2 linked regions of the Drosophila melanogaster genome follow. The protein of the gene in region 2 interacts with the protein of the main gene of each other region in a pairwise test. Each region holds a gene or a part of one and is shown on either strand. Other genes may lie near its edges.

What was found. Proteins that work in one complex are often made in the same cells at the same time.
Region 1: the proteins of corolla (region 2) and cona interact in a two-hybrid assay, tested with the Drosophila melanogaster proteins (one study listed by BioGRID).

The regions. Positions count from the first base shown.
Region 1 is NT_033777.3:18,380,023-18,387,387, forward strand, and holds cona (corona), read left to right. Parts: upstream 1-5,805; 5' UTR 5,806-5,899; coding exon 5,900-6,004; intron 6,005-6,064; coding exon 6,065-6,364; intron 6,365-6,436; coding exon 6,437-6,612; intron 6,613-6,683; coding exon 6,684-6,726; 3' UTR 6,727-6,865; downstream 6,866-7,365. Other genes in the region: CG7675 (uncharacterized protein), read right to left, coding at 191-331; CG14309 (uncharacterized protein), read right to left, coding at 1,927-4,198, 4,287-4,610, 4,675-4,979; Vha100-4 (vacuolar H[+] ATPase 100kD subunit 4), read right to left, coding at 6,925-7,190, 7,247-7,365.
Region 2 is NC_004354.4:17,627,024-17,639,001, reverse strand, and holds corolla (corolla), read left to right. Parts: upstream 1-6,954; 5' UTR 6,955-7,002; coding exon 7,003-7,120; intron 7,121-7,184; coding exon 7,185-7,475; intron 7,476-7,632; coding exon 7,633-7,820; intron 7,821-7,872; coding exon 7,873-8,940; 3' UTR 8,941-9,211; downstream 9,212-11,978. Other genes in the region: CG5800 (uncharacterized protein), read right to left, coding at 78-2,171, 2,248-2,634; CG8289 (uncharacterized protein), read left to right, coding at 3,076-3,660, 4,025-4,428, 4,649-4,670; ND-24 (NADH dehydrogenase (ubiquinone) 24 kDa subunit), read right to left, coding at 5,569-5,739, 5,894-6,412, 6,542-6,580; CG8326 (uncharacterized protein), read left to right, coding at 9,579-9,661, 9,731-10,646; stas (stasimon), read left to right, coding at 11,552-11,573, 11,762-11,978.

The DNA.
Region 1 (7,365 bases), on a different chromosome or scaffold from region 2:
CCGAATACTGTTTTAGTAAACTATCCCACCATCATTTGTATGTATATGACAGCTCATCTACAAGATCTGAAAAGAATTCGCAGCGGAAGTGGGAGCAACAGCCATATAAAGTGCGAAATATTCGAGTCGTGTCGCGATTCTGGGGAGCATGGGACTTGGTTTTTTGGATTGGGTGAGGTGCGTTCGTTACCTCGGTGAAACATCGTCCCGCCGTGATGCGCAGATAGAACCGAATGCTCATCAGGGTGGCCACTATGGCGGCCACTGAAGTCATGAGGAAGATGTCGCGCACATAGTGCTCGGTCGACAGCCAACCGAAGATGAAACCCATCCTACAAATATGCCGAGGTGTGTATACTATATATTGTATCTTCATATACGTATATATCGGTGTCAACATGCAAATCAGATTATATAATAACCGAAGCTGCCAAAGCCAGACGATTGTCTTAGGGCATAACGAAACGAGTTTGGTTTTGGGTTTTGGGGTTTCATGGTTTTGGGGATATTGGTTAGTCGGCGAAGGTTTTCACAATTCAAATCGTTTATCAGTGACTGTCAATAAATCAATTTCGAAAACTGTTGAGAAAACTTACACTTTCACTTTCACACATGTGCGTAATTATGGCTTATTATGATGAAACGCCGAAAAAAATAACATTCAACCAAGTTCATTGACAGCCCAAACGAAAGAAGGTTGAACAAGAAAGAAAGTCTGAAGTTTCATGTCGTTTTGAGTTTCTGGTTTTTTCTTCTCTGTTTGTTTTTTTTTTCCCCCACCGTCCACGTCACAAAGATTTCCAAGAGCTTTCCTCAAGACTCGAAGACTGGCTCTGGTTACGCTTGCATGCACCATTTAAGAACCCCCCCAACCGAACCACGCCCTACAATGCAGTCTCGAAAAGAAACAAGATCTATAGATGTATGAAAAAGTCTAGAAGTGACCCGTTTTTGGGTTTTGTTCCTCAACTTTTGCCAGTCGGAGACGAGTTTTTTAGTGCAAACTCACCTGTTTTGGCTGTTGGCTGATCTATAATTTATTCCAACTTCTGCTGACCTGCACTTTGGACTATATCTGCGCTGCGAAATGGAATTGGTGGATCCAAGAGCTAGTGCCACAACCTTCGCCTTGAACGACTAATCGGAGACTGAAGTCGGAATTCCGATTATAAAGCCGAGGCTGCGGAGAATGCGCGATCGTCTCCACCGGTTTGGTATTGCCGTGGTCGCGGTGATTTTGTTATTGCACTTATAGCCATGGTAACAGGTTAGCCAAGCGGCTTTCCGGGCTCCTCTTTGGGATCGTCTTCATGAACGGTTCACTCGCAGCGAAAGAGCGAGCACAGAGTGGAGCCAAACTATAATACATAGTTACCAGCGGTAAGAGAAAGATCTGGGTAGTGGATTCCAAGAAAGTGTGTCTAGAAAGCCACCTGTCGGGGGCTTCGCAAAGCTTCTTTTCTAGTTATGCAGCTCGAATGATGAGCTTGAAATAATGTAGAAAATAATAATGGATAGTAATTAACTTTTTTAATGACCAAGACTTTATTACTATTTGAAGTACTACGGGTAATTGTATAAACATGTCAGATAAAAATCTATTTTATTTTTCATTTCATATATCATTAACCGAGATACCACTGAAATATATCAACATTCTTTTCAATTCAATGCATTTTATTATAGAGATGACATATTCACAAGTACAATAAAGAATGCTCAACAATCTACCACAAGCTTAGTCTAAGCCCGTCTAGTTCGTTGCCTTAGTCCTGTATATAGCTTTATTTGAAAAATATAATTCCCTTAGAATTATCGCTCAAATATAATTCCTTTGAATGCAGTAATGTTTGAAAATAAATATATATTTACATTCGGTTATAATGCTGGCAGTTTAAACAAGGTCATATGGTAATATAAGTCATTCTACTTCTCAATGCTGTTTTGTCGGCGGGGTGGTTGGGTTTCCGCATCCGTTTCCAAGTGCTTGGTTAAGGTGTTGTACCATTCGTTCATATGGTTGGATATGATGTTGATGAAGCGAGATACCTTTGATTTCATAGTGCTCACGAGGCTTTCGGAGAGTTTAGTCAGACTACGACCAGAGGCCAGCGAATTCTTGCTGCTGATCCTCATGATCTTGGATTCCTTTTCCTCCCTGGGCTGGCTGGCATCCTTCTCTGCCTCGTGATCCATCTTGTACTCGTAGTAGGTGTACCTTCCCAGCGGCATCATCTCATCGCGATCTGCCTTGTCTATGGCATTGGAGGGCAGTTCAGCCAGGGAATTAGTGTTAAGTACGGCACGCCGCCTTCTCATAGCTGGTAAATCCCACCAGGAAGTGATACCCTCATCGGCTGGCTTTTGAGGCAATTTCGAATGAAGAGTAGGCGTTGCCTTCTTTCCCTCAAAATGATCCTGTATGAGGGACTTCCTACCGACATTCGCCGACTCCAGGGAACTTTCCCGCATGCCCTCATCTCCTAGAGAAAACTCGTGTTCATGCTCGTTGATGTGGCTGAGGAAATGCTTTCCAAGCTCTTTTTGGGCCTGCAAAAAGTCGTTGGCCACGTGACCTAGCCTGGAGTGACGCCTTCTAGCACTTGGCACCGGTTGCACATCCTCCTCGGGCTCGGACTCTTCAACAGACTTGGGTTTTTGGGACAGACTAGCCTTGGCCATGGTGGCCTTGCTGGAGAAGGGTTCCGGAAATAGCAGTGAGTTCAAGGTGGCTCCCAGATTTAATCGCTTGTTCTGCTTGGGAGCTGGTAGGGCCTCAAAGAATTCCGTGGGCAGTAGACGCAACTTGGGACGCCCTTCTGTTTGCTCCGGTTCCTGCTCCTGTTCATCCTCTTTGTCCTCCCTTTGAATGATCTTTAGCTGACTCTTGGACTTGGTCCTGCGCTTTTTGGGTACCTCCCGCTCAAGTTCCTCTTCGTTTTCCACCTCCCCATCCACAGTCTCAATGTGCTTCAGGTGGACATCACCCTCTGGAAGCCGTGTGTAAGTGGGTATTTCCTCGGATTTCTCTCCAATGCGCTTGAAGAACTTCTCCTCATCGAATTCATCGAAGTCGAAAAGGGGCTTATTCTTCTTTTCCGGCTTCCGGATCTCAGTAATCTTCTTCGTCAATGCTGTCTTCTTACCCTGGCGATTGTAGAAGAAGGGCCCGGAATAGCTGGATGTGTCGCGTCTCTCCCGCTTTTTGCCCATGTCACGGGTGTGCTCGAGCACTTGATACAGCCAGGCCAGAGCTTTATGAGGCTTAATAGCCTGTTCTTTGGACTTGTTCACTTCATCACCCACATCCCTCTTCAGCGGACCGTCATCCTTGAAATGGTCCAGTAGTCGATCTAGTAGGGTCTGTGACGTTTCCTCCTTATCAACGACAAATCTCCGATTGCGATTAATAGAACTCTGAACCGAGCCTCGGGCAACTGCAGTTTCCTCGATCAATCGTTGGAGTAACCGATCGGCGGAACTATAGCGGAATGATCGGCGCTTCTCCTTGGAGGACTCCCCACTCGAATCGCCTGCCTCGATCTCCGTGAACTGGCAGTGTTCCAGATTGACATCGGGCAGCACCCAGAAACTCACCGCCATGCTGGGCGTGATCAGTTGCAGTGGCTTTGTTGGATCAATGGGTTTGATCAGGGGACGCAAAGTGGTGTTCAAGTGCAAGCGGACATTATTCAGCTGGACCCTTTGATCATGGCCAGTCAGTACATACTGCCAAATCTCGCTACTGCTCAAACTACTGGTACTCTTCACAGTAATCGTTGTTGGCTGCTCCTCCGTATTTACCACCATGAATGCCAATCCTCCGGATACGGCATTTGCACAATGGGTATACAACTTGTTGCTCGGAGCAAAGGCGTTCAGAGGTCGGGCTGGGAACACCCTTGATCCCATGACCTTCTTGAACAAAGCAGTTACATACAGACTGAAGTTTGGTCGCTCGAAGTCCACCAAGTTCATTCGCTTAAATATAACATCGAATCCACTAGCGGCGGCATCTCCCATAGTTTGGGCCCACCGCAAGGCATCCGTGGTCTCGTCGCCCACCAATCTCTGCGAGGATCGCTCCTCCGGCAAGGTCAGCCACAAGGGAACGCGCTGTTGCTGAAGGGTTCGCAGGGCAGGATCGCTGTCGTACAAGTAGCTTCCCAGGCTTGATTTGGGCAGCATGTTTGCGGGTCTACAGTTGGAACAAAATAATTATTAAAAGGTAAGATGCTACTTCTATAATGTTCATAAATACATTCACTTCCAATCTCACTACTTACTGCGTCCATCCAAATGCCGTATTCAGATCCTTGGACATATCTACGTATCTCTTGGTCTCATCAGCACTGCTTCCAGCTGAAATGTCCGCTCCCATTAGTCGCCAGTCGTCCACATACGGTTTGAAAGTATCCGTCATCAGTTTGAGAGTTCGAAGTTCCTGGACGTAGTCCTTGGCTCTGGAGGTGCCAAAGTCTGTGCCCAGCTGCCAGATGCAGTCGGTGATGCCAACCATATAGGAGGTGTTCAGGATCTTCAGCGTATGCATGGAGTCCCAATCATCGGGCGCATAAGGCACCGGGATGATCATGGTCCAGTTTACGGCCCTTCGAAAAATAAGGTCAGATAGATGATCAGAAAATGGGAGGAAAGCCATCACCACCAACTTACCGCGACCACCGATTGAACCCCTTCCAAATGATTTTGGTGGGGTTTCGCAGCCTAGTTGGCGCATTGCTGGCGAAGTAAAAATCTCCCACGAACTTGATGTGCGCATCTCCCAGCAGATTCGCCAAATTGGTCACCGCCTTGCGGTTCTTGCCATCCAGGGCATCGTACAGATCCTCCGGACGAACGGCAAAACTGACAAACTTTTCGTTCACATCGTTGTAAGGACGATTCACATGGAGCTGAACCAGTGTATCCGCAAAGCACACTACCGCCAGTCCCAAAAGAGCCAAACACAAATGCCACATGTTTTAATCCAGAATTACGAATGGAAAGACCGGAGACCTGTCTGTTGCTCGATGGCTCCACAACTGACCGGAGTTTCATAATGACTACCTCTAAATAAACTCCCCACTCGATCATTTCCATCTGATTTCGCTGCCATCCGCAAGAATTTTGCGCTGATCGCTGCCCTCAATATGATGACCTTCTTCCAATGCACCACTAACGTAACCCAAACCCACATACAAGTGGGCCGTGGTTGGAATGCCGTGCTTATCAATGAACTATGAGATGACCCAATAAGGTTGGGGTAAATCTGCGGAGGCCAGTTCTTCGGCATCCTCGCTGGCGGTCACGGTTTGTTAGAAGAAAAGAGAAGAGAAACCGTCTCATTTTTTTAAATTAAGAAGGTTTCTCACACAAAGTTTAATGTTACGAACCATTTTGCAAAACAAATCACGTCAAAGCTTTCAGTTATACTCACAAAGTAAAAGGAGGGTATATTAGATTCGCTGAAAAGTGTGAAACATGTAGAAGAATATATTTTTATTATATATATTTATATTTTTGATCAGAGTCACAAGTCCAGAGTCAGAGTCGATCGTCCACAGTTTCTGTGATATACATAAATATATGAACATGAATGTGAATATAATGTATGCCAATTTCAGATATGGAAACTATTAAAGTTATGAAGTATTTGTGTTCTTTGACTAGAACGTAAATATTTCCAATTGGTGTAAATTTAAATAGCGCGCTCATCAACAGATCTATCACCAATAAGTGTGTAGAAAGTTGCTATCGTCATCGACCTATCTGCTGTTTTCCAACACTAAGTTGACCGCCATTTTGTACGTCAAAACAGAAATTTCGCCAAAACTTGAATAGAACGTTGCGACAATTATTATTACAGTTAAACAAATTGTTATCCAAAACTACATGAGCAATGGGTAGTAACCAAGATTGGAACAAGGAAGACTCCAAAACTGAGGTCCCACCTGAGGAAGATGACCAAGTGACAGCATACATTGAGAAATCAGTGGCCCAATTGGTAAGTTAAGAAAGGAAACATTTTTAGTTAAAATTTATATACATTTTGATATTATTGTAGGGCTCCGAAAATGATCACCGTACCGCGCTGGTCGATGAAAAGAAGAAGGAGTTGGATGTCCTGATTGCCGAGAAGTACACCACTTTGAACGACTTAACCCATGTCACCAATTCCCAGAATCTTGTGGACGACATCCACTTTCTGCATACGAAGAACGCCAAGATCCTGGAGAGCCTCAATCAGGCGGTCACCGCCAAGAGAAACGTCTCCCAGGCCTACGATGACCATTGCAAGAAGGCGCTCAAGGTCAAGGCCGAGATGCAGGAGCAGACGAAATGCTTCGATGAGTTCACCGTGATGGTATGTAATCTCCTCAAGAAACCAGTAATCTTGCAGGTTTGTAAAATTCTATCCAAATATTTTCTATTTCAGAACTACCACGATCTAAAGAAGACCATACTTAACACCAAGAAAGAAACGCAAGAAATTCGCGCTAAGACGGCTTTAAAGACCGAGGAGCTCAAAAAGAAGCGAGAATTTGTTAACACCACCCAAAAGTCAATGGCTAATGATATCCGTGTTCTAGGCCAGATCGAACATGACCTCATGTGAGTAACTATTAGGAGTTATAAAAAAACCGTACAAGAACATGTATCCCAAATGTTTGTTTTTTCCACAGTGGGATAATCGAAGACTTAAAATCCAAAATTTCTGCAATTTAAGTACAGGAAAACAAATAACACTTGAACAATCGCCAAAGGTGCATTGGAAAATACGGTCGTACCTCATCTTCCAAAAAATAATCCTTAATATTGCTGCGTTTTCCAAATAATTTGACAAATAAAGTACTTTTTATTCTGTAATGCTTTTTTAATTAAACCTTCTTCAAGGAGCGAATCACGATGGCTATCCTGATGGTTCTAATCATCTTCGACGACGATCAAAATATCCTTAAAGCTGAATGGCGTGAACGGATATCCGTTTCCCACATAGAACTTGCTCATGAACTCCACCCAGTGCAAGCGCAATGTGTGCAGGAAGGCGGAAAGACCCTCCATCATGACCATGATAGCGATGGTGAAAAACTCCCAAACGGCAAAGATGAAAAACAGCCCAATGGCGCCCACGTAGCCGTTCATCTGAAGTCCCATCGCCAGCACCATAGTCCACAGCACCTCCGATAGCTCTGAAATAAGATCTGCATGAAGTACAAATTCAATTACTGACTTAGCAGATTCTTACGGGCATGAGCTAAGGACAAGGCCCAGAGACGAAGATATGAGGCCGTGTGTGAGATGGTACTAAGGATATACTCGATTGTGTGGATGGCCTGGTGGATCCAGATTTCGCTCATCGGCTCG
Region 2 (11,978 bases):
AGTATCCATAAAAACAAACTTCTATTAAGCTACACGGTTATTTTTACAAAGTAGTTGGCATTAATTTATTCCCCCACTTAGCTACCCAAAAGACTGGCCGCTATGGCCTCCGTGTCCATTAGAGTCATCTTGTTCGTCAGCTTGGACTTTTTGTAGGCGGGTTCATCGTCGGAGACGTCGTCGTCGTCGCCGTCGCTGTCGTCAGCTTTCTCGTCATCGGATGCATCGCTGGACTCTGATTTGGATTCATTTCGATCCGAAGCGTTAGGCTTATTTTTGTAAACCTTATCGGGATCCGGCAGCCAGGAGAGGTCCACTGAATGGTCACTCTCACTGCCAGCATCGTCCGCATTGTCATCGTCCTGTTGCTCCTCTTCGTCGTCGCTGCCCTTGGCCTCCTCCGCCTTTTTCCGCAGCTTCTCGCGCTGCAGTTTGTGGCGCTTCTTGACCAGCTCCCGGAATCGCTGCTTGTCATATTGATCCTCCTCGGTGAGTAGCGCCTTGGACAGCACTAGATTAATGCCTCCATCGTCGTCGTCTTGGTTCACTGTTCTTTGCCTGGCACTCAAGGCCTTCATTTGGCTGCGATCATCTGCCATAGTTTCGCCCTCGTCATCGAACTTCAGCTTGGAGTTGACCTGCAGATTCTTCTTCAGCGCCTTCTTGGCCAGCGAGGCCTTGGTTACCAGCTTCTCGCGCTTGGGTACCACAAGTGGGGCCTCTGCCTCATTCTCAGTGTCATCCTCTTCGTCCAGCTTCACTGGCTCTCCTTCCACATCGTGATCCTTACGTTTCACCTTGATAAAGTCTTCGTCATCACTGTTCTCTTCATCCTCGTCACCGCCGCCAAAGCTCTGCTGCTTGGTCAGCTTGCTGAGCAATGGATTGATCGATTTTGCGTTATCACCCTGTTCTTTCTGCTGCTGTAGCTGCTTCTGGCGCCACAGGAATTTTTCGAGGAAGGGAACACGCGGCGTAACCGCCAAGCCGAGCGATTGGGCAAATGCATCTAGATCCAGGCTGAACACATTAAACAAGCGCTTGTTGCGCATCAGGAACACGGATTTTATGTAGGAGAGGAAGGCGCGCTGGGCGGTTGCCCTCAGTTCGGGAAATTGGGCCAGAAAGGCCTCGATCTTGACGCGCGGAGAGAAGAGCTTCTTGGGATCGATTTGCACACAACGAATGTCGATATTCAACTGTTCCTTAAGCGCACTAATCATGTACTCCTCCTCGCTGGGTGTCAAAACCAACAGACACTCGCCGCGTGTCTTGTTCCGCGCAGATCGTCCAGCTCGATGAATGTACTGTGAAACATCCTCCGGGCAGTCCAACTGCACCACCCAATTGACGGCAGGAAAGTCCAGACCGCGCGATGCCACATCAGTGGAGAACATAACGACGTGGCTCTTGCGAAGGAAATCCTCGTAGATGGCAATGCGACGATCCTGATGGAGCGTTCCATAGAGAGCCAGCAGCGGGCTACCCGGCCGCAGTTTACAAAATATCTCGTACAGGTACTTGGCCTGCTTGCAACTGGCCACGAACACAATGATCTTCTGCTTCAAATGGTTCTTGATGAACGACCACAGCATGGTGATCTTGTCCTCCAGGTTCAACACCACATAACTCTGCTGCAAAAGCTCAGGAACTGCCAAGACAGCTGTGTTCGGAGTCTTCTTCGTGCTGGCGCTGGGCTCTTCTCTTGGCGTCGCTCCTCCGTAGCCTACGTAGACCGGATCCTTTAGATTAAGCCTCGCCAAATCCTGCACCGTATTCGTTTGCGTGGCCGAGAATAGCAGCGTTTGACGCACTGGTGGGAAATTTTCTATGATTGAATTCAGGGTCTTCTGGAAACCCATATCCAAACAGCGATCGGCTTCATCCAGGACCAACATCTCCATGGTGCTCGTATTAAAGAGAGGATTCTCGTCCATGTGCTGCAGCAGCCTTCCGGGTGTGCAGATCAGTATGTTGCACTGGTCCATGCGAGTGCGCTCGAACTTCAGGTTCTTGCCTCCGATGATGAGGCCGGCGGAGAAGTCGTGGTGCTTTCCCACCTTCTTTAGGGTCTCGAAGATCTGGTAGGCTAGCTCGCGGGTGGGCGAGATGATGATAGCGCCAACGCCATCGGTGCGCGACCATTTGTTCATGAACAGATGCTCCAGAACCTGCAATAAATGGACCATTGCATATATAACTTACAGCCGGCAATTTCTTTCGAAGAAGGGACGAGGACCAACTTACGGGTATGAGAAAGGCCAGTGTCTTGCCACTGCCTGTGATGGCCGCGCCCAGCACATCCTTGCCCTGCAGTGCGGGTCCAATGCTGTCCCGCTGCACCTGCGTGGGATGCACGAATTTGGACTCCGCCAGTGCCTTTTGGGTCTTCTTGGACAGCGGAAACTGGGCGAACTTCTTAATGGCAGTAGCATCGATCTCTGCGTATTTGGTCTTGAGGTCCTGGATCTCCGCTTCGGTGGCGGCCAGTCGCGACTTGTTGATCTCCTGGCGCGGACGCTTCTGGCTGTTGTCGCCGCTTTTCCGGCCACCACCAGCTCCTTTGAACGTGCCGGATCCCGGCTTGAAACGCGAACCCGGTTTGCCGGGTCCCTTGGGTTTCTGGCGCTGCATACCCTCTGTTTATTGACCAAAATGCGGTCGTTTCGAAACGTATTGAAATTCGCACGCGGTTGGAATTAGGGATGAGAGAAGAAACGATTATTCAATCGATTAATTCGCATTTCAAGTCGAATGTATCGACCACTAATTTGTATTACCGTTTCTAGAAATTTGGAAAGAATTAATTTTCTTACTTTCTTACTTCGATTCGATCTCGGGATCTCGATTGATAAACATTAAATAAATATTCCCAGGAAATATAAATATATATATATTTATAAAACTGCATATCCCGACTTCGTGATTTTTTGTTTCTTGCAGTCTGGTAACACTGCCAAGTGTACAGTCGTCAAAAAACTCTATAAAGAATTTGTTTTGCTGGTACGCGGCAATTGAAATCGCCACCGTAGAGCAAATTGGACGTTGTCACACAACCGGATAAACAAGTGCATTATGGCCAAGGCGAGTAAGAAGGTGGCAGAAAGTAAGCGCAGGAACGGAGTCGCCAACGAGAGCGAAAACGAGGAGATTGACCAGCAAAAGTCCAATGGGACAGGTCGATCGTCCAGGAAGACGCCGAACAAACGAAAGGCCAAACTGACTGTGGCCTCTGACAGCGAAGACAGCGATTGCCAGACCTCTACCTCCAACGTGGATGTACCAGCTGCAAGGAACAAGCGCAAGGTGGGCAAGGCCAGGAACGCCACCACTTCGCCCCGCAAAAATGGCAAAAAAATCGTTATAGAGGATTCGGATGATGATGCTAATCATTCCGATGTAGACCCTAGTGCCGACAGTTCGCCAAGGAAGCCAAATATCAAACGCCAGACACGGCGATCCGTGCGCGGTGAAACGGAAGATAGCAATGAACTGCCCTCCACCTCCAAAGCCTCTGCACATGCATCAAGTCCGATCAAGAAGCGCAAGCTGAGCAGGGCTTCGACTTCTTCCGTCAAAAATGGCAAGAAGGTTGCTGAAAAGGATTCGGAATCCGATGTCGATGCTGGAACAGAGGATGAGAAATCAGCTCAACCCCAGGTGAGACATCAATTCGAGAAATCAAAAAATACTAGACCCAATTAGATATTGAACCCTCAGTAAATTCTACGAAATTCTAGTCAGCAATTACAAAACATTGAGACTCAAAACCTTTCGAAAAGGTTAGATTATGATGACTGTACTATTATTCGAAATCATTAGCGCTAACTGGCGTACATATAAAAATGTATGCTTTTAAAACATTACACTGAAACGCTGATGAGAAAGTGTAGTCAGTTGAGAGTAATTTCGTTATATGGCGGTTATCTTGGCCAAAAATGCCTCATACTTTAAGATTCATTTTATTTATAGGACAGTATTTTGATCAATGAAGTCCAACTTTTTTATCTTTGCTGCTTTGCAGAAGGTTGCAGCTAAATCGAAGTCCTCGCCAAACGCTAAGAAGGCTAAGGGACGTGGTCGACGGAACGCCGGCACCAAGAAAGCCGACGATTCAATCGACCCAGAAAAGCAATGGGAAGTCGAAAAAATTCTTGATCACGTTGCCACCAAGGAGGGCGACATGTTTAAGATCCGATGGAAGAAGTATGGACCGAAGGATGATTCCTGGGAGCCGAGTAAGAATCTGGCGTGCGATGCGCTTATCGAAAAGTTTATGCGGAAACAAGCAACCCAGGAGAACGTGGACGTTAAGGAGCTGCGCGAATCGCCCAAGAAGACCGAGCGCCTCGTCGATGAATGCTATCCCAGGACAAATCTGCACAATCGTATTGAACGCTCCTCGAAGCGCTCTTCCGCCAAAAACCGGTGCGTTTAATATCTCTATATACACAATAAGGTTAGAATAACGACACAGCTGTGAAGTATTAAATTCAGTTATTCCTCAGTTGATACTTTCAGTTTATATTTGCCCGTTTCGTTGCTTAATTTCACGCATTGTGTCTGATTTCTTCATTATTTTGTTTATAGTTTTGATATCCACACTCAACCATGTTACTCATATGTCAATAAACCTTTATACTTTCAGCATTTTCTACGGCGAGGAGTGAGGAAGGGCAACAAGGAAGGAAATCCATGTAGGAATTTAGTACACTTTTTTTTTTTTACATATAATATTACAACACATGCGGACCGAAGTACGCGGAAAGGTGACCCATGGCGGCTCCAGTTAGATTTTAACGGAAAATTTCCCTTATCGTTATTGGTTTTAAAAAAGCTCGCGGGCGGAGCCAATCCACATCATGTCCACAATCCTGACTATTGGCGGACAACTTTACGGGCAACACAAATAACTAAATATTAAATTCGGATTTTAGTACATAAGTAAAAAGGACAGGCAATCGACTGCATCACAGTGCGTACATACATGTAGTATTATATCTGGTTAATTGCACTCAACCAGCGTAGAATGTAAGGCATCATTTCTGTAGCTTTAGTTTTATCCTTTGAGTAATTGATGTTTGTATTGGTCAATTGCCACAGCTGAAAATAGCCTCTCAACTACTCTTCCAATCATCTTAATTCATAATATTCGTTCTTACGTACGTACGCCATTGTACATACAATTATAATGAGCGAACATTATAATTAGTAATGGAACATGCGTACGTATGCAATAGTAAACATCCATTATAATTAGCAATGGGAACCTGCCGTTTCCACTACAAAATAAAATCATTTATTGGTCAAGATATGAAAAACGCACATTTGGCTTGCATTGGGGTTCTGGCGATCTTCCACATCTAATTGAATGTACTAGTATTCTCGAGTTCGTTGGGAGTTATTATTTTATGTGTAACCTTTCAAAATGGAAACTTTCCAATGGAAAGTGAGCATATTTTTAAAAAAAAATCCAAAAATCCTTTATCAATGACCTCTATAAGTTGCTTAACATTTATTTAACTTTCGTTCGACAATCAGTGATAGGTTCTGCTCCTTGCTCATCCTCTACAGACCGGCCTGCAGACCAAAGCCAGGACCCTTGGGCTCCTCGCTCAGGGAAGTGGGCTCGCCCTTTGGCTCGCTGGCAAAGCGTCCGTTGCGTGGCCCAGGGGGCGATATCTTATCCGCCTTCAGGTCGTTCAGGATGTCCTGCATGTCCTTGGATGTCAGATCCTCCTGCAAAGTAAAAAAAAAACGTTAGCAATGTTTGCACAATATAGAGTCGATTTCAGCGCATTAAGATTGAAACGCTGGACGAGGCTGAGAGTGAAACTGGCGTTTCCTACAAACAAATGACCAGGAAACACATTTAGCAATTAGAATTGCTTACATAGTAGTCATCGTTGATCGCCACCATTGGCGCATTGACACAGGCGCCCAAGCACTCGACCTCCGAGATGGTGAACTTCCTGTCCTTGGTGGTGTCGCCGACGCCGATGCCCAGCTGCTTCTTGCAGGTCTCCAGGATGTCGTCCGATCCGCGGAGCCAGCATGGTGTGGTGGTGCACACCTGGATGTGATACTTGCCAGTGGGCTTGCGCATGAACATCGTATAGAAAGTGGCCACCTCGTAGACGCGCATATTGGGCAACTGGAGAATCTCGGCCACCTTGTGCATGGCAGAGATTGGCAGCCAGCCGTACTGGCGCTGTGCCAGATCAAGCAGCGGGATCATGGCGCCGCGCTTGTGCCCCTCCGGATAGATGCTGAGTATGGCCTCCACGCGCTTCTTGTTCTCCGCCGTGAACTCGAACGGGATGTTGGGATTATCCTCCGGTGTGTCGCGATGGACGAACAGATTGTCGCTGGCCCGGGCACTGCTGGTGGCAATTGCCCGGATGTTGGCGCGCTGCAAATAACAACACATATCCTTAATGTTATTGTTTTCCTGTCGCCAATTATATAACTCGGGGAACAGGTTGCCTTCCCTGGTTGACACCGCGAATTACTGGACAGTTTGGATGGCTGCGCTACTCACCACGGCGGCCAGTGTTTTGGAGGCACAGTTTGTCAGCATTCTGGCGTTTCCAAAATAATGAAAAGGCTGAAAATTTGCTCTTATGTTATGTGAAGTCCGTCGGCTGCTGTCAGTTTTTTTTTAACAAGCACCGCTTACAGCTGATTTTCGGCGGAGCGTTTGCCAACACTGGCACTTGTCGTCAGAGATGAGCAAATCTCTACAAATCTTGTACAACATTAATAAAAAAAAGCTTAAACAAATAAAACTTGTAATTAAATTAATATTCAGCGGTACGTTACATTTTTTTATTCCTTTTTAAAATAAGTTTTCTAAAACAGTAAGCGATATATATCGCTGTGACTTCAGTATCTATGACACTTTTCAACAATGATCGCTGTGCCTTAGCATTCGATATCCGATAAATTACTGAACGCGCAAACTTGTAAGCTTATCGGGGGGAAACATTGAACGGACAAAATATGGAAAAATATCCACTTGTCAAAGAATTTATGGGGCAAAATTGGCCAAAAGATACCAAAATGGCGCAGCTCGAGAAGGAACTCAAGAAAAGGAAAGAATTGATCGTCGAGGAGCAGAGTGAGTGGGCATAATGCGCGAATCTCCAAGTAAGATTTATACATACATGTTTCTGCTTGTTCAGTTGTAGGGCCGCGTTTGGAGCAGGTGCTATTCGACCTGACCTTGGTCAAGCAGTGCGCCTTGGTAGTGGAGGATAACGGTGCCGGTATGGCACAGGCCAACACCATGATACAGGACTGTATGTTCCAGATCACGCGAATTGAGGAGCTGCTCGAAATGGCCGGGCTGCAGGACATCCTCTACTACACGGTGCATCGCAAGGAGCAGGAGTTCCAGCGCAAAATTAAGCTGCAGGAGGATTTGGCCGAGCAAGAGAATCAGCAGAACACAATCCTCGAATCGCGCAGCATCGGTAAGATTTTGTATGAGGTATTATTGAATACGGAATCCATTTGAATGCTATATAATCATAAACAATAAAAAACATTTTGTTTAATATTTTTTACCCTATGTGATAGTATAAGTTCATTTGTGTTATTTAAATGATTCTCAAGTAGCTTCTATTTCAGTCCAGGAATTCCGAAAAGAGCAAGCCTTAAAAAAAGAGGCAGATAAGGAGCTAGCCTCAGTGGACGACCAACTGGACCAGTCGGATCGCGAGTGGACAATTACGCTGAGAAGTATGACGGATAAGCTTAATAAGAAGATAGTCAGCGTTTTACAGATGGGAAAGCTGATAAACGAATTGAAGGAAGAGGTGAGTAGCTGCGAAATATCCATTCCAAGTGAATAACTTTTCCGTTTTTCAGTTGCAAAAAAGGAATTTGATTAAAACGGGTGTCACTAAGGGCGCTGAACCAAGTTTGGCTGGTGTTCCATCCGCTAGCACCATTTCACCATTTCAGTCCGCTTCGGATTTCCTCAACAACTTCATCTTTAAGAATATCAGACCAGATGACAATAAATCCATGACGAGCGTGAATAGAGAGATCACTACTAAGAAGCTGGAGACTCCTCTGCGATCCATTTTGATCAAATGCAAGGAGGTCGAGTCTGTTGCCATTTCCAACTCGCCAACAAAGCAAGTGCGTTTTTCTCCCTATCCAGAGATAAGCCATATCGAAGAGGAGAAATTTGAGAAGACCGATTGGCTTTCTCCTTCAGAAGAGGCAGGTGTCCCAAATGCGGAATTAGAAGAGGACAGTGACGAAATGGAGGCCACAGACGAAGATTTTGAGGAAATATCAGAAGAAGAATTCGAAATGGCGCTGAAAGATGAAGGATTTGAGCAGGAGGTAAAAGTAGAAAAGTCAGAAGAGGTTTTGCATCTAGAACAGGATAGATATGATGAGAAATCTGGCTCAGAAGTCGAGGAATCCGTATCGGATGACAAGGAATCCGGAGGGGAGGCTTCAGGAGAGGAGGAGCCGGCTGATGCGGCCAAACAAGTAAAAATCGGCGAAAACCCGAAGACTGATGAGCAGCTATCCAATGAAATTTCCGATAAACCACAAATAATTAGAGTCGACACTCTCTCTCCCTTCAAAAACATATCTTCCTGGGCCAGCGACGATATACCCAGCACCTCCAAGGGCACTCTTAATCGTTTTACTGCAACCCAGTTTATGAACTATGGTAGCAATCGCGATGAAAACGAGGCGCCGCCTTGCAAGCGACTAAAATTGGAGGAGGAGGAGTTCCCAATGAGCCAACCAATGCCGGATTACTTTAAGCATCCGTCGTCCACATTCAACAACTTTGATGATCAATCACTTCGATTCAGCTCGCCCCACAACAATTTTGACGATGATTACCTGCTGAACTTCAGCGATGATAATGATGTTACACCTACTGCCGCCTCGGCGTACATACTTTAAATTGTTAACGTATTTTGGTCAAAAATTAATGTATGTTCTTTATAAGAACGGACAATTAATTAATATCCAGATACTTATTCATTCATTGCCATTTGCAATCAAAAAAAATTTCACTTCAGCTAAATTATTTGTAGCTTTATAATGAAATTAATTTGCGTACATAATATGCATATGTACATTTAAATCATACGTATTCAGTTCGAAAGTGCCGTTTCAGACTTATTCTTCATTTTGTCGTTGCTTATAAACTAATAAAACAATAAATTAAGACAAATTCGTGACTTTAAATATTTAATTTTACTGCAAACAGTAAATTTTACCACTTGCAATAAAATACTTTTCTCATTACAGCATATAAATCTTTATTAAAAATGTATATTATAAAATAGGGGAATATGAAGACTACTTAATACAATACATAGTGTAAAATACATTTATATATTTAATCTAATATATATTTAACTTTAATATTTCATTTGTAATTCTGGGCGCCAATGGTTTGAGTCCAAGCTTTAATCGATTTGGTATATTTATGGTTTGTTTTGGTATTTGTCAGCATGCATCGCGCTTAGTATTTTAACCCATGCTGTCGATACCACGAGTTTGTTTTACAAAAATTGAACCAAAACCCAAAATAAATGGCTCGGAAACGAAAGATTCCCGTGCGCAAGCACCACGGCGTCCGTGATCCCCTCAAGCAGCTGGAACAGAAGGAGAAGAAGTTTGTTCATAGTGGCAAGTCAGTCGAAAAAGGCAGCTAAACTAATATCTGCACCATTTCACATTTCAGACTTTCCAAAGTAACGAACAATCCGCCTGTGAAAAAGGATGAGCAGCAGGTGTCCTTTAAGTTCCGTCAGTTTCAGCAGCTTGCCAACGCCACCAAATCGGGCAAGAAGCTAAGATTGGGCGAAATTGGACGGGAGGATAAGCCCAAATCCTCTCCAGGATCCAAGCCTGGCAGTAGTTCCTCCTCAAAGGAAACGCGTAACATCAAGCAGTTCGCCAACGAAACGGACGAGGATTATCTGCGCCGAGTGAATCGCATGACCAATGCATCCGTACGGGAAGCCCACTACGAGGCCAAGTATGGTGTGAACGTGATCAGAAACCCCAAAACCGGGGAGATTACTGTCCAAAAGAGGCCGAAAAACGAGATCGACGAGCTGCTCAAGCAGAAGCAAAAGGAGCAACGGCTGGCGGGCAAAAGGGGTCGCAAAAAGGTTCAAGTCGTACACAAGCCCATGGATGCGAAGACCAGTCGCGAATTGGTGAAGAGGGCCTACAAGGAGGCCCAGCAAGAGGTTGATACCGAGGAGAAGCAGAATGCCGGGCCAACAGAATTCAAACAGGATGCTGTGGCATTTGGTGAGATCGTCCATGCCCCACCTTCCCTCAAAATCCTGCCGCGCAAAGCGGAAAAAAGTGAAACCGTGCCGCGTCCAGGACGCAAAGCCAATCTCCTTCTAAAGTCCATGCTGAATCCCGACCAGGGTCAGTCAAATCGTGGGCCGGAGGACGACGACAGCAGTCGACTAAAGCTGGCTGCCCAATCTAAGAGCGCCTTCAAAGCACCCACCAAGGCCCAGATGAAGGGCAAGCGGAAAGATCTGCCCTTGGCTACGAGGTCAATGCTTGAAACCGAGCGCAGCAAAATGGTTCAGCTATACCGTCAGCTCAAAAACAAGACAACAGCAGATTCCTAACAGATTCTAGACTAGATACCAACGTACTTTTTTTTTTACATGAAAACAAGTTAACCTAATCCCTTAAGTTTCGTGAATGCGTTTGCTACCCACTGAAGGTCGTAGTTTCATTATAGAATGTTAAATATATTGATGAGATTTTTATTAAATCTATTTTCATACAAAATAAAAAGTGCACTGTTTAATTCCACTATTTCTATCAGTATTTCATGGAGGTGGTAATTAATATGGAGTCTTTTGGCAAAAAGAAAAAGGGCACTATTATGTTGATATTTATAGATACAAAAAAAGTACTTCACTTGCTTATGCAGACACTCACATTTTTTTATTTACGTATAACATTAAAAAATATAAATAAAATTTAGAGAAACTAAAAAGTGGCGCTAAATATGACAGTATGACCAGATTTTATTAGAAACCCACGTTCAGTTTTGTGCGGTAGCTGTGTACACGCTTGGACTTAATCAACACTGCGCCTTCGGCCACACTGGTCGTGACGGAAATTTCTGAAATTAATTTATTTTAAATTGACTTTTAAGCGTGATCGTTCGCCGAAAAAGTCGGCTAAAGTGAAAAGCAATAGAAAAAATTTAAAAAAATTGCTATTAGCGCAGTAGTCAACTACAATTACTCTAGTTAACGCAGTTTTAGCCAACTTCCTATTTTTTTTATATTGATTAAATTCATTGTTGTAGACACACGCACATACACATACGCATAGGCACGCGGATAGAGAGAAGAACAACAAATTGTGACTGGCGCGCAAATAGGCACACAAATAGCATTAACAATTGATAAATAGCCTAGACGCTAAATGAGTCAATCGTGAATTAAAATCGGATATAGAAGGCTTATTAAATTTTCCTTCTTCAACTCGGGCTTACGTACATCGTGTCAAAGCCACAATGTCTTACTGCAGTGGTGTGGGTGAGTGTGCTGTTTTAGTTGTTTTTACTTATCAGCTGAGCGAAGGAACGGTGATTAACCCGCAGCTAGTGCGCAGCCCGTGAAGCCAAAAACGACTATTAACCCTTAGTCCGTGCATTCTGTTCACCACCACCACTTCTGCTTTGGAATGCATATTACATCTGCATGTCTCTGTTTTTTTTTTCTAGCCATTTCCGCTGACGAGGGGATTACAATGCGCAATGGCAGGGCAAAGGCGCTCCAGGAACACTCCCCGGATCAGGTGGCTACTCCACTGTTGCCACAGGTGCCGCCACAGGAGCAACAAGATCTTAATCCACAGCAACAACAGCAGCAGCAGCAACAACAACAGGCCACTCCGCAAAAGCAGGCCATGTCCGCAGACGAGAAGAAGGCCACCAAGAA